Oryzias latipes: one gene and its partners. The protein of the gene in region 3 binds, or shares a complex with, the protein of the main gene of each other region. Links are inferred from orthologs where the notes say so. Each region holds a gene or a part of one and is shown on either strand. Other genes may lie near its edges. The genes, in order: hus1, rad1, rad9a and rhno1.

What was found.
Region 1: the proteins of rad9a (region 3) and hus1 are in contact, whole or in part, in a crystal structure (PDB 3GGR), measured with the Homo sapiens proteins. The link is inferred for Oryzias latipes from reciprocal best matches to the Homo sapiens genes RAD9A and HUS1. Residues at the interface, in NP_004575.1 of Homo sapiens: Leu157, Pro158, Pro161, Val176, Ala186, Lys191, Ala192, Met193, Val194, Thr195, Glu196, Met197, Cys198, Leu199, Gly200, Asp203; in NP_004498.1 of Homo sapiens: Thr84, Asn87, Arg90, Ala91, Lys93, Thr94, Phe110, Ser121, Ser123, Ser126, Arg127, Ile128, Val129, Thr130, His131, Asp132, Ile133, Pro134, Ile135.
Region 2: the proteins of rad9a (region 3) and rad1 are in contact, whole or in part, in a crystal structure (PDB 3GGR), measured with the Homo sapiens proteins. The link is inferred for Oryzias latipes from reciprocal best matches to the Homo sapiens genes RAD9A and RAD1. Residues at the interface, in NP_004575.1 of Homo sapiens: Leu76, Ser82, Val83, Ser86, Leu90, Lys92, Leu112, Phe116, Gly117, Val118, Arg119, Lys120, Thr121, His122, Asn123, Leu124; in NP_002844.1 of Homo sapiens: Glu165, Ala166, Ser168, Glu169, Asn195, Ala196, Gly197, Ser198, Ser199, His200, Leu201, Asp202, Tyr203, Pro204, Asp206, Ser207, Glu211.
Region 4: the proteins of rad9a (region 3) and rhno1 are in contact, whole or in part, in a crystal structure (PDB 8WU8), measured with the Homo sapiens proteins. The link is inferred for Oryzias latipes from reciprocal best matches to the Homo sapiens genes RAD9A and RHNO1. Residues at the interface, in NP_004575.1 of Homo sapiens: Val41, Ser44, Arg45, Ser46, Ala47, Tyr48, Glu130, Leu132, Gln133, Ala134, Val135, Glu165, Tyr181, Glu183, Thr216, Phe217, Cys218, Gly244, Pro246, Val261, Leu262, Ala263, Thr264, Leu265, Ser266; in NP_001239428.1 of Homo sapiens: Thr88, Lys90, Phe91, Pro92, His93, Leu94, Thr95, Phe96, Glu97, Ser98.

Annotation. Positions count from the first base shown.
Region 1 is NC_019878.2:4,319,809-4,324,754, forward strand, and holds the start of hus1 (checkpoint protein HUS1), read left to right. Parts: upstream 1-1,665; 5' UTR 1,666-1,952; coding exon 1,953-2,004; intron 2,005-3,914; coding exon 3,915-4,042; intron 4,043-4,117; coding exon 4,118-4,294; intron 4,295-4,946. Other genes in the region: cell death activator CIDE-A, read right to left, coding at 69-136. UniProt on the Homo sapiens protein: Component of the 9-1-1 cell-cycle checkpoint response complex that plays a major role in DNA repair. The 9-1-1 complex is recruited to DNA lesion upon damage by the RAD17-replication factor C (RFC) clamp loader complex.
Region 2 is NC_019870.2:9,821,759-9,826,798, forward strand, and holds rad1 (cell cycle checkpoint protein RAD1), read left to right. Parts: upstream 1-1,856; 5' UTR 1,857-2,009; exon of another isoform or gene 2,010-2,012; intron 2,013-2,711; exon of another isoform or gene 2,712-2,714; 5' UTR 2,715-2,720; coding exon 2,721-2,915; intron 2,916-3,006; coding exon 3,007-3,115; intron 3,116-3,195; coding exon 3,196-3,353; intron 3,354-3,542; coding exon 3,543-3,643; intron 3,644-3,768; coding exon 3,769-3,867; intron 3,868-4,076; coding exon 4,077-4,263; 3' UTR 4,264-4,510; downstream 4,511-5,040. Other genes in the region: brix1 (ribosome biogenesis protein BRX1 homolog), read right to left, coding at 4,974-5,040. UniProt on the Homo sapiens protein: Component of the 9-1-1 cell-cycle checkpoint response complex that plays a major role in DNA repair. The 9-1-1 complex is recruited to DNA lesion upon damage by the RAD17-replication factor C (RFC) clamp loader complex.
Region 3 is NC_019868.2:13,973,224-13,978,189, reverse strand, and holds the start of rad9a (cell cycle checkpoint control protein RAD9A), read left to right. Parts: upstream 1-1,867; 5' UTR 1,868-3,193; coding exon 3,194-3,227; intron 3,228-3,305; exon of another isoform or gene 3,306-3,334; coding exon 3,335-3,405; exon of another isoform or gene 3,406-3,524; intron 3,525-3,530; coding exon 3,531-3,604; intron 3,605-3,688; coding exon 3,689-3,737; intron 3,738-4,966. Other genes in the region: uncharacterized protein LOC105354882, read right to left, coding at 185-303, 414-1,271. UniProt on the Homo sapiens protein: Component of the 9-1-1 cell-cycle checkpoint response complex that plays a major role in DNA repair. The 9-1-1 complex is recruited to DNA lesion upon damage by the RAD17-replication factor C (RFC) clamp loader complex.
Region 4 is NC_019881.2:18,846,449-18,850,360, reverse strand, and holds rhno1 (RAD9, HUS1, RAD1-interacting nuclear orphan protein 1), read left to right. Parts: upstream 1-1,669; 5' UTR 1,670-1,833; intron 1,834-1,965; 5' UTR 1,966-1,988; coding exon 1,989-2,147; intron 2,148-2,258; coding exon 2,259-2,900; 3' UTR 2,901-3,021; downstream 3,022-3,912. Other genes in the region: foxm1 (forkhead box protein M1), read right to left, coding at 101-249, 344-785. UniProt on the Homo sapiens protein: Involved in microhomology-mediated end-joining (MMEJ) DNA repair by promoting recruitment of polymerase theta (POLQ) to DNA damage sites during mitosis.

The DNA of each region.
Region 1 (4,946 bases), on a different chromosome or scaffold from region 3:
CGAACAGGTGACCTGACTGACGCACTGAGTCCAAACCCTCCGCGCGCGCAAACTCGGAGCAGACTCACCTGAGCAGAGAATCCGGCAGCAGCGTTTTAGCGTAACTGACTCCGGACTGGATGGAGAGCGGCGCCATGCTCGCGCCAGTCAACAAAGAGGAGGAGGAGGAGAGATGAAGGTCCGAAGGCACGCCAGCACTTTATGTAAAACGGCGGCTTGTCATTGGACAGAGAACCAATCAACCTCATGCGCATGCGTCAGGTTAACCTTCAGCAGATGACTCATGCCTGAAGATAAAGATGAATTGAGCTCCAAGAAGAAGAAAAAGATTCCTAATCTGAAACACACAGTTGTACCTCAGCCAGCAGCTTCCAACCCTTTACTCCAGCCTGTTTCAAACAGAAACTGCAGCTTCTTAAGAGGATTAATCAGACAGGAAACAAAGAGCTCTCTCATGGAGGTTTTCTTTTTACCAGTCTGCCCTCAGAGTGAAAATGTTTGACCTTCTTCAGATGATAAGACCAAACATGGTGTCCAACGTGCTGAAGTTTGAGTTCTGGGTAAAGAGGACTGAGCCTTTCTCTAATCACCCACAAAGACCTGCTGTTTCACCTATGACCATTTTTTTCTTTTTAAACAAATGCAGCAAATATTTAAAAGAAAGAAGGGAAAGAAGATCTGCAGTGAAATATTTCTGCAGTCAGAAACCTTTGGATCTATTTGTCTGACATCAGGATGGAGCAGAATGTGGCTTTACTTATTCAATTTACTTTAGTTACTGACGACTTACAGTCCATCTGTTCCTTCCGTTCACTGAACTCAAGCATCACACAAATCTATCTTGAAGGACCAAAGTTTTGAAGGTTTCAGGTGAAACAAACAGCCAGAGGAGCCAGGACTTGTAGATCATGAACCTTGTGTGATCATTGTGCCGTTTACATGGAATTCTTTAGTGATTTGTGCGCCAATAAAGTAATTTTAACGTGATATGTGCGCCGTAGACGTGATATAAAAGTTATACATGCGTGAAAAGTCTGTTAGACATACGTGGAATGGTCGTGCAAAGCCACAAAATTGCATATACATCTCACAAAAATCACACACAATTGCGTAAGAATAATTGCGTGTAAACTATGCAAAATACACGTAAACTGTGTAATTTTCAACAAACTAAAAATTTTGAACAGCTCAAAACCAAATTCCCACACAGACCTGTCGTCCAAAACTCTCAACGGTTCTGTACTGAGTTTGACCTTTCTAACCTTTATCATAACCACAACACACGGGAATGCACCTGTGTCTCTGAAGGACCACAGCTGACATTTTTAATCATCTATTAGACATGAGGAGCAGATCATTTGCTGTTCAACTAAACTTGTTAGTTCTGAGAGGGTTTTATAACTTACTGAGTCTGTTAATTAGATTTGGGATTTCATTACTGCTGCAGGCTATTAAAGTTTGACATTGTGTTTATTTATTTTTTGACAATCAGTTCAACTTTTGACCTATTCCTTTTCTTCCTGTGTGAGAAGTTTTTTTTGTTAATTTCTTTTAAGATTTTTAACATTTTTAGACTTGATTTTATCTTTATTTTTTTGTTTGTTGATGTGGGCGTAGGTGTGTATAAATTTTGCAACATTATTTTTAACCATTGACTATATAGTCACACTTTTAATGCACTTTGAGCTGCATACAGTGCTGTATAAATAAAGATTGATTTATCCTTTTAATACCAAGTCTAATTCGTTTCAGTTTTTACAACAACTTTCGAATATTCTGGATTTATAAGTTATGTATCTGTTCAGACAGGAACTATTATTGTTTTGTTTCCGGGGAACATTTTACGCAGACGGACCTAACCAAGACAGAGCGCTTTAATGGTTTCCCGCCTGCGTTTGATGCGCAGAAGCTGTGTTTAGCAGAAAACCTCAGTATTTGGTCTCAGAGTCCAGATGAAGTTTCGGGGGAAGATCGTGGACGTGGCGTGTCTGAACCACTTCACCCGTGAGTCACTTCAAACAGCAAAAAAAAAAAAAAAAAAAAACTACCGAAAACTGAGAGCCGACGATGTCACATTCAGTTATCTACGAGCCACTTTCATTCACATTATAAATTTCGTATGTGTAAAAATTCACTTCAATCTGATCAGCAAATAAATCTAATATGATTCTCTTAAATGACGACTTTGAAAAACTTAAAACGTTTGTCGTGTCGCGTTGCATGTTGGGAATAGGAGTTCTGTAAATATATTTTTAAAGGGCTTTTAACCTCAGGTGTGCATTTCTGTTGTTTCTGTACCTGAAATGTATGAGTAAGCCCTTCAATTATGTTCAATTAAATTATTTTTGACGAACATTTTAAAATATTTTAACATTTAATTGATAATGTGACCAATAATAGCAACCAGAGACTGACTTTAGAAACTAGTAGTTTGAAACAAACGAAAATGTATTAAAAGAGAAAACTGCAGTTGGCTTAAACAACCTGACTTCACTTATCTGGTAAACCCAGTGAGTGCAGATATAAAAAAATACTAAATAAACATAAATAAATGTGCCTGTTTTGAGGAGAAATGTGTTAATCTGCCGTATTATTATCGAATAATTGGTGTTATTTGGTAAAGGAAATCTCATTTTGCTGTCCAACTGTTGACTGAAAACATCCAGTAACAGGGCTCCAGATTAACTTTTTTCACTAGGAGCACTGTTGCCCCCAACTGAAAATTTTAGGGCCACAACCAGAAAATTTAGGGGCGCATATTGTAAATCAACATGCTAACCAAATCTATTAATTTCCACTGTATTACTAATAAATACTTTTATAATAGATGCCGAAATTACAACGTGCTGTTTCAAATTCAGTGTCATATTTTATTCTGCACTTTTGAAGATGCAACAAGGTAAACTGACAGCACCATCGCTGTCATGACAGTACAAATAGTAAACAAAATACCATACATTAAAAAAAAGTTTTTAGTAACAAGTGAATACCGTAGTAACCTTTCGGTCATTTCACAGTTTCAAACAATACTTAAATGTATGTAAACATTAGGGGATGGAAATTCATGTTGGCGACACCAAATAGGTGCAGCCAAGATGCACAATAATTTGAGATCACCCAGATGGACGCAACGCTGCACAGATCACCTGGTGTGAGACATATTTTTGTTTTTCCTCAACATCACCTGTCAATCAAAACAAAAATATCACCAGAAAGGGGCGGAAGCAAGACCTCAACCTGAGCGAACGCAGCTAGAAATTTAGCACTGAACTGACTGAAAGCTGCCCTACAGACTACAAAACGATGCATTATGGGACATGCTTCCTGATGGGTTTTTTGTAGTTCACTGATCAATTAAAATAATTTAAAATACCAACTGATTAAAAAAAGCTACATACATTCCAAAACATTAAAATAATTATAAAAGATGTAATATCACAGATCATACTTAAGGGGAGAGGCATGTTAAAACTAAATTGAATGTTAAGGACTACAACTTCCTGCTCTCCTTCAGTCTCGCTGCAGCTTCGCCTTCATGCCCCCCCCCCCCCCCCCCCCCCCCAGGGCGCTGGTTTATCGTAAACCCGACTATTGTTGCATTTTCCACACGTGTTTTAAGTGCGTCTAAGACTAAATCGTCTCATTGTTTATTTCATTGCTCATTTCATTGATCATTGACGTGCCCCTTCCACGTTTAATGTATAAAAAATACGGAGGGTGGGGGAGGCAAATTTACTGGTAGATATCTAGCACATGCTAGATGTAAAATTCAGTCGCACACTCTCAAATTTTGGTCGCAAAATGCAACCAAATGGTCGCAGTCTGGAGCCCTGAGTAACAGGAAATGGTGAACATGTGGAGTAAACGGGTTCAGTGTGTGCTCAGGACTGACAGTGGTTGCTAACTTCCTCCAGGAGTCGTCACCACCATCTCCAAGCTGACCAAGACGTGCGTGCTGCGGCTCAACCCGGACAACCTTTTCTTTGTCCTGTCAGGGAAAGTGGCCAATGGAGGAGTCAGCATGTGGTGTGAGCTGTCACAGGTGAGCAACGCCACCTTTTGGTTTGGATTTGGCATTGCAGGAAGAATATTTTAAGCAATTTTAAACCTACTGCAGGCTAACTTCTTCGACGAGTACCAGATGGAGGGCGTTTCTCCAGAGAACAATGAGATTTGTCTGGAGTTGGCTCCAGAGAACCTGTCCAGAGCCCTGAAGACGATCCAGAATGCCAAATCTGTTAAAGTCAAACTTACCAAGAAGCATTGCCCCTGTCTGACTGTCTGCGCCGAGCTGGTAAGTCCTGCTCTGAGCACTTGACCCCTCAGCTTAGGAGAAACTGTCTTCAGGGAAGATCTGTGATTTTCATAAAAGCTTACTAACAATCTCCCAGTCTCAGGGTTCAGGTTGGTTCTTCTGGGTTTAGATAATTTTACGGTATAGATGATCTCGGTTCTCATAATCATGATATCCCATTGGGTTTATTTGAAGCTTTGAGCAACACCTGCTGTCCACACTTGTGAGCATTCTGTTCTCTGTTTTGGCCCGGATCTTGGCGTTTGGGCCGCTCATCAGAACCGTGACTGGCTGACGTGGATCAGTGGGATGTGAGCTAGCTGCTACCTTGAGCTGCATTCACACCAAACATCTTTTCACGCAGCGACGGAGCAGTTTCAAATCAATTCAATTCAATTCAATTCAATTTTATTTGTATAGCCCAAATTCACAACAACAGTCGTCTCAGTGGGCTTCGTACCGGTAATTGTAAGGTAAACATACAATAGAAAAGGATCATAAGGGCATAGAATTCAATAGGATAATACTAGACTTTAACCAAACAGACTAAGCTAAACTGGCATCCCTGTCCTTAGACCCCCCTTGGCGGTAAGGAAAAACTCCTTAAATAAACAGATTCCGGAAAAAACAAATAAACCTCAGGGGTGCCCAC
Region 2 (5,040 bases), on a different chromosome or scaffold from region 3:
GAACCATTGACTATATTTTTAGGGATGTAAAAGATATGGATATATATCAAAAAATAGATGCAGCACTGGGAGTAATAGCAGTATTGGTTGAAAACCACTGATACAAACAAGATTATCTTGGTAAAAATATATCAAATTGATCTGGAAGTAAATAATAGGCTTCTAATATACAGTTTGTCAGTTTCTCTTCCTGTTGTGCTCTCTACTGCCTTTGCCGTTCTAAAAACACAGTCCAATGGAAACAGTGTTCTTAGTGTTCTTGTGACACAGGTGCCAAAGTACACCACACACTCCCTTCGCCGTTCCATTCCTATGCGTCCATCTACGTCCTTGTTTTTCTTGTCAAGGCTGGCATCTGCCACTGGTAATGTTAGGTTGGTGTAAAAGGCTGTAAACTAGCAGATGAGTGTGTAAACAAATGGATGATGGGAAGTGGAGGAAGGCTTACTCCGCACTAATGGTCCCGCCCACAACTTAGAAGTGAATTCTAAGAACAACACAGGTTTTTTGTTTGTTTGTTGTGTGTGACTAAAACGGCATCGTCATAATAACGAGGCCACTGGGAACCTTTTAAAAAAGATCACAAAGATGATTTGAGTGGGACTTTAAAGTCCAAATGATACAAATAAAAAGACGTCCAATCACAAGCTTGCTTCTACCTGGTCGGGCCAATTACAATTGTCTAAAGGGGAACTACAGGGAGGGATGCGTTTTGTGTGCTATAAACATATTACAATCCTTTTTTCCCCACAGGACTGCAAACAAGGCCTAAATCAAATAACCACAAGGGGAAAATCAATATTAAAGACGCAGAATACCAAGTCTTTATGTTTGAAGCTTCTATGTTAAGGACTTTGCTTAATTGATAAAAGTAAAAAGTGGCAGTAAGTAAGTTTCTCTCGTTGGCATTTTGTTTATAGTTTTATAAATGAATAATAAATACATTGTCTACAATTAGGTAGAAGATTTGGACTGTATCATATTGCCACAAAGTTTGATTCATCTATTTGTGTCCATTTGTGGACCGTGTATTGAGATTTGAGCGCTGCTCTACCTTTGAATTCCATTCAATTCAATTTTATTTGTATAGCCCAAAATCACAACAACAGTCATCTCGATGGGCTTCGAAGTAAAACATGAACTCAAAAGGATCATGAATACAAAGAGTTCAATAGGAAAATACTAAAAAGAACTAACAAACTGACTAAGCTATACTGGCATCCCTGCCCTTAGACCCCCCTTCGCGGTAAGGAAAAACTCCTAAAAAACCATTTGTCCAAAAACAATTTTAACAAACTTTGTTTGACCAACTCAGTTTGATTGCTTTAAAGCAGCAGGAAAATTGAGTAATTAAAAGAAAAAAATATAAGGAGAACAAAGCCTCAAAAGGTGGCGCTGTAGTCCCAAAAGTAAGATAAACATTTGACAGTTAGACAGACAGCCTGATGAGCTAGCTTAACTTGAACTGCGTCAGCAAAGTTGATGAAGCTTAAGTTAGCTGCCTCAGTTATTCAGCTTTATTAAAGGACTATTTCGGATCTATCTAATATATATTCCATTATTTAAAAACGACATGTATCTATTTCTAGTATTTTTTTTTTCCCTGAGGGAAACAGTTCTAGAGAAATATATGTCTCACCGGTACGTAGTGAGTTAGCTTCCAACTTCTCGTGCTCTTTTTGCGGCTTACATAACGAACACGGAAAACCAGCAGACATGGTGTCAAGCCAGATAATTTCAATAAACTTACCCTTTTTTCTAAATACGATCACAAACCACCGGCCTTAGTAGAGACAGCTGTTGCGGTCACGAAGAGTTGTTCAGTTTCGACTCAGGAGCGAAATCTCTGGAACATAGTGTGCCGCACAGAAACGCAACTTCCGTTGAGGGAAGACCAAACCGGAAGTTGCTACAAATCGGGCGCATTTCTTCGATACATGTCCGCAGTTTTCCAACCAACCAGGACAATTATAGATCAGTGGAGCACCCCTTTAAAAGCAAGTTAAAAAAAGGTAAAAGTTGCTTTTGTGTCGTTTATTACTCCTTATCTCAAGCTGCAAAGCTGAAAAAGTAGCCTAGCTAACACAGCTAATTTATTAACATGGCAAAGTTGAAGGAAATTCTGAAAATATTATTTAAGAAAAACATACGACAGAAACACTATTAGCAGCTAATTTGATAGCAGTAAAGTCATCATTCTGAACTACCTCACAATGCAAAATAAAACCGTTAATTAAGGAATTTCAGTGAATTCACAACAGCTAAAATAAACATCAGAAGCTAAAGAAATATATATTTTAATTCAGTTTGAAGAGTTTGATTAATTTTTAGACATTAAAGCTGAGTTGAGAAAACTCAGCTTTAATGAGTTTTCTCATTAAAGCTGAGTTTAATGATCTCATTTCTCATCTTCTTGATGCAACATTGATTCCTCAAACCTTATTATGTGATCATTAAATACAATTAGAAAAAAGGTTGCTTTCTAATGTTAGAAATATTGATATTAGTAATATAATTTTTTCTCCTAATGATTTTTAATCCCGAATAATAAGTTTTAATTAAATTCAGTCCTATCAGAATTAACCTGCCGAATGTCCATCAAATAGATTCAATATGTTGGCATTAATACCCAGAAAGCTGAAATGTTTTTTGCTGAAATAAATAGTGTATTTGTTTTGTTTTAGATTCTTGCAAACCTGTTTTTGTCTTTCAGCAGAGCAATGCCTCTGTCCACACAGTCTCAGGACGATGAGGAACACTATGTTTTAGTAGCCAGTTTGGACAACGCTCGCAATCTCTCCAACATCCTAAAAGCTATCACTTTTAAGGATCATGCAGTCTTCACAGCAACACCCAACGGCCTAAAGGTCACTGTGGAGGACTCCAAATGTCTTCAAGCCAATGCATTCATCCAGGTGTGTGTGCAGTCTTTGTTTTTGGATTTGCATCCATCAATTTTGTATTCGAAATCCTGACTGAAGAGAAGTTGTTCTGTTTTCACTCCAGACAGAGATCTTTCAGGAGTTCACCCTTAAGGAAGATTTGGTGACTTTTCAGATCAACCTCACTGTTCTGCTGGATTGCCTAAATATCTTTGGAGGAAATGCAGTAGCAGGTAAAGAATTTTTTTTTTTTTTGCACAATTCAAACTTAGTTCCAACCCTTTTTAGATCTTTTTTTGTTGTGACTTTGCAGGAACTTCTACTGCCTTACGAATGTGCTACAAAGGTTATGGATACCCTCTGACTCTCTTCCTGGAGGAGGGGGGCGTGGTGACAGTCTGCAAGATTAACACACAAGAACCTGAAGAACCAATGGATTTTGAGTTCTGCAGCACTAACGTTACAAATAAGGTTCCCGTCATCATTTGTCTTTTTGTGAAAAAGCTTCATCTTTTGAAAGATGATTTTTTTTTTAATTGAATTAGAAAAAACAGTGAAAGTAATATCTTACTTAATTACATCCAGGTGCTTAGTAGCTTGAAGTCTCGCATTTGTGTGTTTATTATGAAATCCTTTGGGAAAAAAATGCCCTTTTTAAAGGTGATTTTGCAGTCGGAGAGTCTGAAGGAAGCTTTCTCTGAACTGGACATGACCAGTGATGTGCTTCAGATCACCATGTCCCCCAGCCAGCCGTACTTCAGGTGAGCTGCTAAAACCTGCTTGCTGTTCTCCTGCACTGAATAAACAGTCTGCCTTCATCAGAAAGCAAAAAAAGATATGATATATTTAAGCTTTAAAAAATGCTTTACTGTTTGATCTGTTTAAGGTTGTCAACATTTGGGAACTCTGGAAATGCACATTATGATTATTCCAAAGACTCGGACATGATGGAGCTGTTTCAATGCACCATGACGCAAACGAACCGGTATGTGCAGATATCAGAAGAAACGTGCATCATTAAAGCCAAAAGATGACCTGAAATAAAAAACATTTCAAAAATGTTTTAATTTTGAAGATTCTCCTAAACATCTTTCAACTATTCTTTTTGTTTAAACATCTGCCACCTTACATATAACAGAGAGGGAAAAAAAGGCTCATCATTCATGTCTTCTTCTGTTTCATGAATCATGACAGATATAAGATGTCCCTCCTGAAGCCGTCCACCAAAGCCCTGGCTCTGTCCTGTAAGGTCTCAGTGAGGACAGACAACAGGGGCCTCCTCTCCCAGCAGTACCTGGTCAGGAATGATGACGGACAGATCTGCTTTCTGGAATTCTACTACTGTCCTGATGAGGAGGTGGAGGAGGAGGAGGAGGAATGACATTTAGACTGACCCAAACTAGCATTTTAACTGCAGTGGTTTCCAGTTGCTCTTAAAAAAAAACAGCCAAGAAGAGGAACTCTGTCAGGAGGCAATCCCAGTCTGATGAATGCAAACATAGAAAGATGACTGCTTCATTTAACGCAAGCTTTTGAGCTAAAGTCTTGACTAAATGTCTTGTAATGTGGGTATTTGCCGTCTGAACAGAAACTGAATCAAAACAAATAAACCAGAAGGGGCACTAAAAGGTCATTTCTAAAGATTAGAAATGCAGTGATGACACCTTTTCAGTTCTGACATGCAGCCAAGTCCCCCTTTTATCTTCCGTCTAGCTCTGCAGAGGAACGTACCATTTTCCTGATATGAGGGGAAGGTCGGTAAAGTTGATGCTCAAATCTAAAGGAGTTTCCTATTTATTGGATGTGTTTAGTATTTGAGGTGTTTGAAGTGAACAGTTAGCTGTACAGGTGAGGCTTTTGGGTCTTATTTAATGTACCGGTACACACATCACAACAATTAATTCTTGCTTTACTGCCAAATTAAAACAAAGCAGAAGTTGTCGGTTCATAAATTGTTGTAATACACTTGAGACAAACATTTTCTTCAGGAGGAAAACTTGGAGAATTACAAAAAAAAAATTCGGGGGGAATCATGTTTTCTCTGCGGGTGATTTGGATGAGAGAAAGTTCTTCAATCTCAGCTCAATCCCATTATCTGCGCGCCATCTGCTGCCGTTGCCTCTTGGACGGTTTGAATTTGTGCTTCTTCTCAGCTTTA
Region 3 (4,966 bases):
AAGTCAAGGCCATTAATGAGGGGGGAAAAATCTAGTAACTGTACTGGCATGGAAACATTCTTAAATTCCTTTCATATCTTTGTGATGATGGCTTTTTGAGAGACATTGCAAACAGACTGTGAGTGTTCGGTGCTTTATTACTGGAGCTAAAACCCTTGCGCTTTTTTTGGAGTCAATTGATTACCTGGAACTGCTGTCAGTTGTGCTGTCCTCTGTTTTTACAGGAAACATGCTGCTGCCCACTGAGGAAAGAGCCCCTTTCCCATCCGAGTTTGATGTATTAAAAAGATCCTCCACCCGTTGCTGTTTTGAGGTTAAAATTTGTCAATTAAAAATCCTCAATTTTCCATCTAAAGATTTATTTTTGAAATTTTGACTTTAGGAAATAAGAAAAGTGAACATATCCTACTCACCTGAGTTTCTTGCTCGGCTATCTTATCTGTCGTGCTTCCCTCTTCTCTTGGCTTTTTGCCATTGTTCCCTTGTTTGTCCTTTAGTCTCTCCTTAATTTTCTGTGTCCATCTCTTTTTGGTATTATTCTCAGATTCTGATCTCTGTTTTCTCCTGCTGCCTGCTGGTTTTTGGTTACTTGCAAAGTGCAAGCCTCTACTTTGGTCCAAACCTGCACCATTCCCCGTGTTCAACTCCTTGTTGTCTTTGTCAGCATCAGTACCCTTCTTGGACCACACATGCGATTTGGGTGTGAAACCCTGAACTGTGGTCTGATTGGATCTCAAATTAAAAGCAGTCTCCTTATTAGCAAGGAAGGGTTGAGTCATTGTAAAGTTTCCAAAAGTGCTTGTGTCCCCATTAGTGGACTTAAAGGAAGTGAGATCAATGTCCTTTGGTGATGTTGCAGGAAACAGATGCCACGTTGCTGCTGGTGTGACCCCAGGATGAGTGGCGTGTTCCAGCACCCAGCTCTTGCTCTTGTTGCTAACAGCACTGAAATTAAAAGAAGGGAAGGAAACTGGACTGCTCACCTCACAGCCAGGACCTGGTTGCTTCCCTTTTCCACCACTAAAGCCAAAGTCAGTGGGGGACCCATACTCTTTTAAGGCACTTCCGTTGAAACCAAACACTTCCACAGTGCTGGTGTTGACCCCCTGTGGAGGGAACAATCCTTTTTCATGATGTTGCACCGGTGTGGGAGCATCCACGGCAAATGTTTGCTGGGATCCATGGCCTTCTGATCCTGGCTGGAGCTTCAGTTTCTGAAGCATTGACTGCAGCATGGCCTGCGTGTCTGTCTGTTGCTGTGACTGAGACATCTCTAAAGGTCACATTTAGATGTAGTCACAGTGTGTACAAACGAATAATCCTCTTTTTATCTAAACTAGCAAAGGTATCACACCATTTTCTGTTGTACTGAGGCTGAAACCCATGTTAGAAAAATTGAAATGTCACAATTATTTGATATAAAAAACATCCTGCAAGGACTAAGTCCCTTTTTTGGGATGTTCTGGTCTGTTTCAATCATGCTTACACTTTCTCTTTGCAAACGGTCAGTTGAACGTCCTGTCACTTCTTTTGTTGATGTCTTCCTGTTATTTTGAATTTCCTCCACTTAGAATCCTCAGGTTTTATGAAGTAGGGGTCCTCCTTTCCTCGTTTTAACAAAAGAAGCCAGCACCTCCCGAAGGCAGTCCTCTTGTATCCATTAGATATCTTTCACTGAATGTCCACAGCGATTAGTTTAGTCCCACCTCTTCTTCTTTTCGCGGCCACTACTGTCAGCGGTGATCAGAGGAGAGGTGGTTCTCGACAGCGTTCCTCAGATCTCACGCACTGAAGCAAACCAACACGTAAAACCAGTGAGGTTAGATAACTTTGCTTTCCCAGTGACTCTCCCTTTGTGACTCTCCCTTTGTGACTCCCTTTGTGACTCTGGCTTTGCAGCCAGTTTAGCTTGCCCTTCCGTCCTATTTCTCTCAGGCTCTCTTACACATGCACTATTTTTCTCCACTTTGGGTTTCAGCTAGTAATTACAGTGAGGTTTTGTAAGATCAGTAGCTACTTCTAAACAGAAGAAGAAACATGACACAAAAAGTCAGCTTTTTGGAAAATGCCATTTTACCTCCACCCTTTACTTTTGTTTTTTCATTTTATCTAAATGCCAACAATGTCAAAAACTTGACATTGTTGGCAGGGAGTCAAACTTACCACTTGAACTACAGCAACTTTTCCCTATATGTGAAATAAACGTGCATAAAAAGCACAAAAACAGAATAAAGTAACAGAATTATCTTTAAAACTTTAAGAAACAGATAATAACACTTCAGTTATTCAGGATATTACCTGTATTTTTATAAAAACACCTACAATTATTCCACATTGGTATTGTTTTCCAGAATACAGCCCAAAATGTGTGGGAATCATGCCAAAGAAAGCAAAGTCTACAACAAAGACTGCAGCTTTACAAGTTCTTTCAAGAAATCTAGTCATAGTAAGAGGACAAAGAAGGTGAAGAACTTGATCACCTGTAACCACCTAAAGCTTGAAGAGGGTCAAAAGAAACATACTGCACTTTTTAATAAGGTAAAAGCCTTTAAAGGACCAAATTCTCTGTTTTAGTTTAAATGACTGAAATGACATTGCTTTGCTCTTAGGTGTAATGTGTTGGGGGAGTGGGCACCTCAACAGAAGTAGACTAAAAAGACGAATTTGATGTAATATGTTAAGTGGAAAGTGATATTGAGTGATAGTGGGTGGCTGTGGTGGACGGAGTGGACACAGTTAAGTTGCTGTCCGTCTATCAGAAAAATATATTATATACTTTGCTTCGGAGTCTGTTAAATAAAAAAATAATAATATTTTTATAAGTTGTAAAGACAGGTTGAATCCTTTAATACTGCGAGTGTCGACGTAAAGAAATTTCATAGTAAAAACACCAAAGCTATTGCGCATGTGCATGGGTGTAGCCGCGCCCTCTTCGAAATTCAGTAACTCTGATTGGTCAACTGTGCGGAAGCAGCTTGTGGCGCCGTAAACAACGTGAGGTTTGGCTCAACTGTCTTGCAGTCTCCTAAAAAAACATTTGGTATTCCACTAACATTTAAGCATAAGTTTAGAAAGTGCGTCTGTGTTGTACGTGCAACATACGAAAGCCCCCTTAATTATTTCGATGGTGTTGCACAGCTGCTAGTTTGGATTCATTTTAGACTAACTCGACGGGGAAAGTTCGTTTGCAGAAATGCAGTGTGTCGTGACGGGAGGAAACGTGAAAGGTAGACCAGGATTTTTCTGTCACTGAAACACAATTGTGCTACTACCATTGATAATAATAACAAAGCTGTCGTTATTACCTGTTTGGGCGCGTGCGTCCACTCAATAGTGTTGGCCAAAGCTATCCATTCTCTGTCGCGCATCGGTGATGAGTTGTACGTGGAGCCCCAGGAAGACGGGGTGAGCTGCTTTGACGCTGTCAGAAACACCAGCACTTCCTCCTACCAACCATCATGTATATATTTTGCTTACTTCCTGTTTGCGTCGACGAATGGTGCTGATTTGAATGCATCTCTCTCTTGTAGCTGGCGCTGCGGTCTGTGAACTCTTCTCGGTCGGCATATGCTTGCTTCCTGTTCGCACCACTCTTCTTCAGCAGGTGCACGCTCCGCTCTCGTTTCAATCAATCACAGATCGTGTCAGTGATGCAAGTCAGCTTCCAACTGCCCGTGTTTTTGTGCAGGTACTCGATTCCCGACGGGAGAAACTTCCGCTGCAAGATAGCAATAAAGGTGGATTCTCAAGCTGTTTACCAATGAAAGTGAATCTGCTTATCTTTTTGTGAAAAATCCCAAAGCTCATCATCAGATGACTCCAAGTACTTTTCTTTGTCCTTTATTAAGTACATTTCCCAATAAAACATACTTTGACCATTATTTGTTAGTAATATTTGTAATCATTTAGTTGTTATTAGCATCAATTACATCTCCATACTCCTTCCTCCAGAACTGTCAGATCCTCAGGTCCTGCTCTCTAATCTGAACCAGGACTCACAGCGAGGCCTCTTTTCAGTACAGTGCTCCTCATCTGTGGAGTAACTTACCTGCAGATCTGACATTTTCTGCATCCGTGGAGATTTTTAAATGTAAATTAAAGATGCATCATTCTAACGTAGCACTGCGTAACTCATATAATTAACTTATTTATTTATTTGGCTTTTCAGTATTTTATGTTATCGTTAGTATGTTTTTACCCTTCTATCTTTTAAGCTTTTAATCTACTGTTTTTTATGACTTTTTAACCTATGTTTACATATGACTTTTATGTCAAGCATGTTGATGAAAGGTGCTCTAAAAATAAAGAGGTGGATTGCAATTAAAGTTTTTAATATAAACGTGATCAGATGAAAGATTTATGACATTGATATGATTTGCTTTAATCTGCCACTTATAGCTTTCACCCGTCCTGTTAAGTTTGGCAGTCCAAGCTTACTTTTATTGGTTAGTCATTAAACATATTTTTGTCCCCTTTTAGAAAAAAAAATCCCTTTATTTCCCTTCTTTGACATCTTGACTGTCATACGATGCATTTGTACGACTATTATTATTATTTTTTCAAACTCCTAAACTCCCCCAATCTATTTCTTTTTCAATTTTAAGAATAGGAATATGTATGATTGCTTACCGACTGTTATCCGATTTAACTGTTTAGAAGTGAAAGTTTTTGAGCTAAAACCCGTTTTCTTGATTTCAAGTTATCTCTTTGCTGCCATGTAGCAACTTTAATGTTGTGGTTATCTGAGTGAAAATGTTTCAAACCTCTTAGCTTCCTTCCTCTGGCAGTTGTAGATAATAACAAAAGGGGCCAAATACGCCTATTCTCACTGCTGTGTGAAAGCTCACCTAATAGTAACATCACTTTGCAAATCAATGTCTAACCTTTAACCCTTTTTTAAAAGAAGCAGTTAGGATATGTTGTTTTGTAAATGTTCAGACACACGTGCATTCATTATTTTTCTCTT
Region 4 (3,912 bases), on a different chromosome or scaffold from region 3:
ATTGCCTCAGACTTGTGTTCCTGTCACACAAGAATCTGTTTGCACACTGGCAGCAAAAGTCACAACCGTGTGGAAGGAAAAAAAAAGACAAACAGCTGACCTGAGCAGTCTGAGACACGGGAGCCTGGTTCTCCTTGCCTTGTATTTGCTTTGCAGGCTCTGACTCTAGAGCACATGTGTTCATTTTGCCCAGCCACTGGATGTTGGTGAGGCTGTCATCCAAAGGGCCGCTATTCCCATCTTTACTCACTGAAAAAAAATTATATATATATATTGAAGCAGGTATTTCAGTTAAATGTAGCATTTCTGACATAAAATTTTAAACTCTGTGCAAATTCCTTACAGGGTTTAATGCCAGTCACATCAAGGGATGTGTGAGTGCTTTCTTTTGTTGCTGGTTCTTGAGATGGGATTTGTGTGGAAACAGCATCTCCTCCAGAAGTAGCAGTCTCACAGAAAGATCCGGCTTGATCCTGATTGCCATTGTCACTCAGGAGAATAAACTTGCTCGGACCCTGAACTCCGCTGTCTTTGCCTTTAGCGGCGAGGACACTAATTACACTCTGAACGTCTGTAGCTTTGGGAATGACCACAACCTGAGTGTCTGACAGGGATGGGTGGCCTATAAAGCGGACCCCGTCTGGGAAGCACGAACTGTCGCTGGAATTTGACGGCTCTTTGGAGCCACCGGACTGCCTGGATGGGTCTGCTGGGGTGGGTTCCTTTTGTTGAAAAGGTAACTTGCGCCTTTTGAGGATCAGGGGTCTCCTTGGGCTCCGTCTCATGGTTCAAATCATCCAAAGGGCCTTAGGTGTTCAATGGAAATCTGTGGGGAGGGGGAAAAGGTCTTGAGCTACAGTTATGGCTCAAAAAGTACTCAGAAGTTAAACACCTTATCAATACATTACGTTACAACGTTTAAATACTGACTTTAACGATAACCCCGAACTAGTGAGCCTGAAAACAACATACCTGCTAATAGAATACGAAGTAATCGGTCAAAAATGATGTTTCAATCCTATGATATCGTCTTCAAACTTAAAGAAACCCGATTATTGCTGTCTGTTTGCTGCAAAAGTCCCAACAGTCCCTCGCTCGAAAGTGAAGATTTTATTCGGTTCCCTTGGCGACATGCCAGTCGTTATAATTTTCAGTTGATGATAGGTTTAATTTCAATAACGTCTATCTAGTGGATATTCAGTGCAACATATATTTACATGTTAACACAATGCAATCAATAAAACAAAAAATAAATTCAAAAAATAACATGCGCCTAGCCAATGTCCCGATTAGCGTATAGTTTCCTTTATTTACAGCTAGGCTAAGCTAGCTATGCTAAAGCTGTTTGACGATGGAGGAAACAAGTGGAAAAATGAAGCCAGACCTTCACATTACTGAATTACTGCAGCGTTTCATTCAATTCCAGGCTTGGTTCGGCTTTCAATTCCACTTGTCGGATCAAAGAAAACATTTAAAATATTCACAAAACCGACGTATTTAGTAGTAATTAGATACAAAAAGTCAATCCATAAACAGTTTTGAATTTTGGCGCTGTGGGCGCTGCCCCGACTGTCACTTTGATCACATGGTAACAATGGACCAATAGTAAACGCAGAAAAAAACACTGGGCGGCTCAATAGGTGGCGCTGTGGGCCGCAGCTCGAGATGGCCAGCCGCTAACCCGAAGAAGACAAAGAAAAAATCCGGGAAATTAAAAGTAACAACAACACGGACAAGCTAAGATAAAAAGGTCTGAATGAACCGAAAAATAAGGGAACGTTTTTATTCCGTATTCCGTACATGGACACATAATCACGGAAAAAGCACAATATGGTAAGTAAAGAACGCGTTTCAAAAGTAAACACTTGAATGCGAATATGTAAACAGCCTCGATCTACGACTAAAGCTATGTGTATTGTTAACAAGATTACTCGATCGGATTTGTCTCTTGTTTGTTTTGAACAGATGCTTAAGATTGATTTAAATTGATGCCCCGGAAAGCGGCAAAGACAGACAAGCCTGCACTGCAATTCCTGGAGCGACCTGTGAGTGGCGCCAGACTTCAAAATGTGCCTGAAGTCAGAGCTGCTCTCAATCCCAGAGAGTTTTTCTCCAAGACACACAGCTCTTCAGCTCTCAGTTCCTGGGTAAAAGTCTTTTAAATATATAAAAATATATAAAACATTACAAATATAGATTTAGTTGATTAGATAACTGGCAAAAAAGTCTACTTAACTATAAATTTCCCAACCTTTCAGGTTCAACCCCAGTTTGACATCTCAGCTACACCTCCATTTAGACGAGGAAGAAGAAATTGTCAGTCCGTCACAAGGATTCTTGACACGTGCAACGAGCTGTCCAGGAAACACAAAGTGTGCAAATACCCATCGTTATTATTTCTTAGGGCGGAGAGAGACAAGTCCCATAATCCAAGTGGACAGCGCACAAAGAAAGCGGCAGAGGTGACGTCAATGCCTGAAGATCAACCACAGGGATCATGTCAAAGCAATAGGACAGTTTTACCTGCACCTAAGAGACGAAGAAATCCTCAAAAATCTTTAAACAGAGCTCCATCTCACAGTGAATATTTGCACCAACCTGAAAATCAGTTAATAGAGGTAACGGAGGAAAGCAGAACTCCACCCGGTGGGTGTAGTAGCCCTAGACTTGGCAATGTTGACCCGCCTCCTGAAGTGGACACTCCAACAATGAAGCAGAACAGTTGCCCCATGTCTCCCCCTGTTTGTTCACTGCTGGCTGATCCCTCCTCCCCGCAGTGTCATCTTCATCCTAATGTTTTGGTCTCCGACACACCAGAGAGGGACTATGGGGTGAAGGTGACGTGGAGGAGGAGAAAGGGATTGATGATCATATTAAAGGAAAGGGGCCTCCTCGATTAGTCACTTAAGTTTATTCTATCATAAATCTTTTAATTTTTGTAAAAAATCCTTTTTCATTTCTCTTGCACACCCAAATAATATTATTTTTTCCTGATGTTGCCTGACAAGAATCAAATGAAAAATAAATGAATTTGACATCTGATTAATAATTATTTATTTTTCTAAGTTTTGAACACATATTAGAAATTTAAGTCATACTGGATGGTCATTTGAAGCCCATTTCGTTTTAGAGAAAACCTTTTATTGTTCCCACCTTTTCCCCAGATGTAAACCAATTAGATTCCTTCTAGGAAAACAGCCGGCCAATAGGAGTGCTCGTTATTGGTCCGCTTGGTTGCCAAGGCAGAGTATTCATCCGCAGCTCCTGCGTCCGCAAAAAGCGTTTTTCTTCGAGGAGCCTTTTCCTTAGTAACCGTGCATAAACATGAGTTATTACAGCATAAGGTAAGAGTAAAGCCTTGAAAATACATCCTTACTTATTCACGGACTTCTTTGGTCTTCAGTTTTGTCTATTGTGGCGTGAAAATCCCGCTCGTGTCCGTGGAATTGTGTTGGGAAAACTTAAGTGTCGCCTTTAACTTTGATAAAACGCGGCATCGCAAACATCGGAAAACGGGCTGAAGCAGCTAACGTTAGCTTCTAACGGTTGTACGGTAGCTTTGATATTCAACTCCTGATAATTATAGAATTGATGACAATTAACTGAGAATGTTTTTAGTTTGATTTTTTTAGTGAGTTGCGACTTAACGGTTGTTTGGAAGAAGGACCGGTCAGGGAAAGTTATAAATCCCAGCGTTTGTTTTCTGTGTGTTTGGCTTGTTTTCAAGCGAACGCATTTACAACCACAGTTATAGGAACATACCAGCTTCATGTAAATATTACGTGTAAAATAAATTCTCATCTATCATTTTGAGGTGTTTTTGGCGGAAAATGCCCCCCCCCTCGCCTAAGTAAAAATATTTAATTTTTGCATATTTGAACAGATTATTATAATATTTGAGTTAAACCCTAC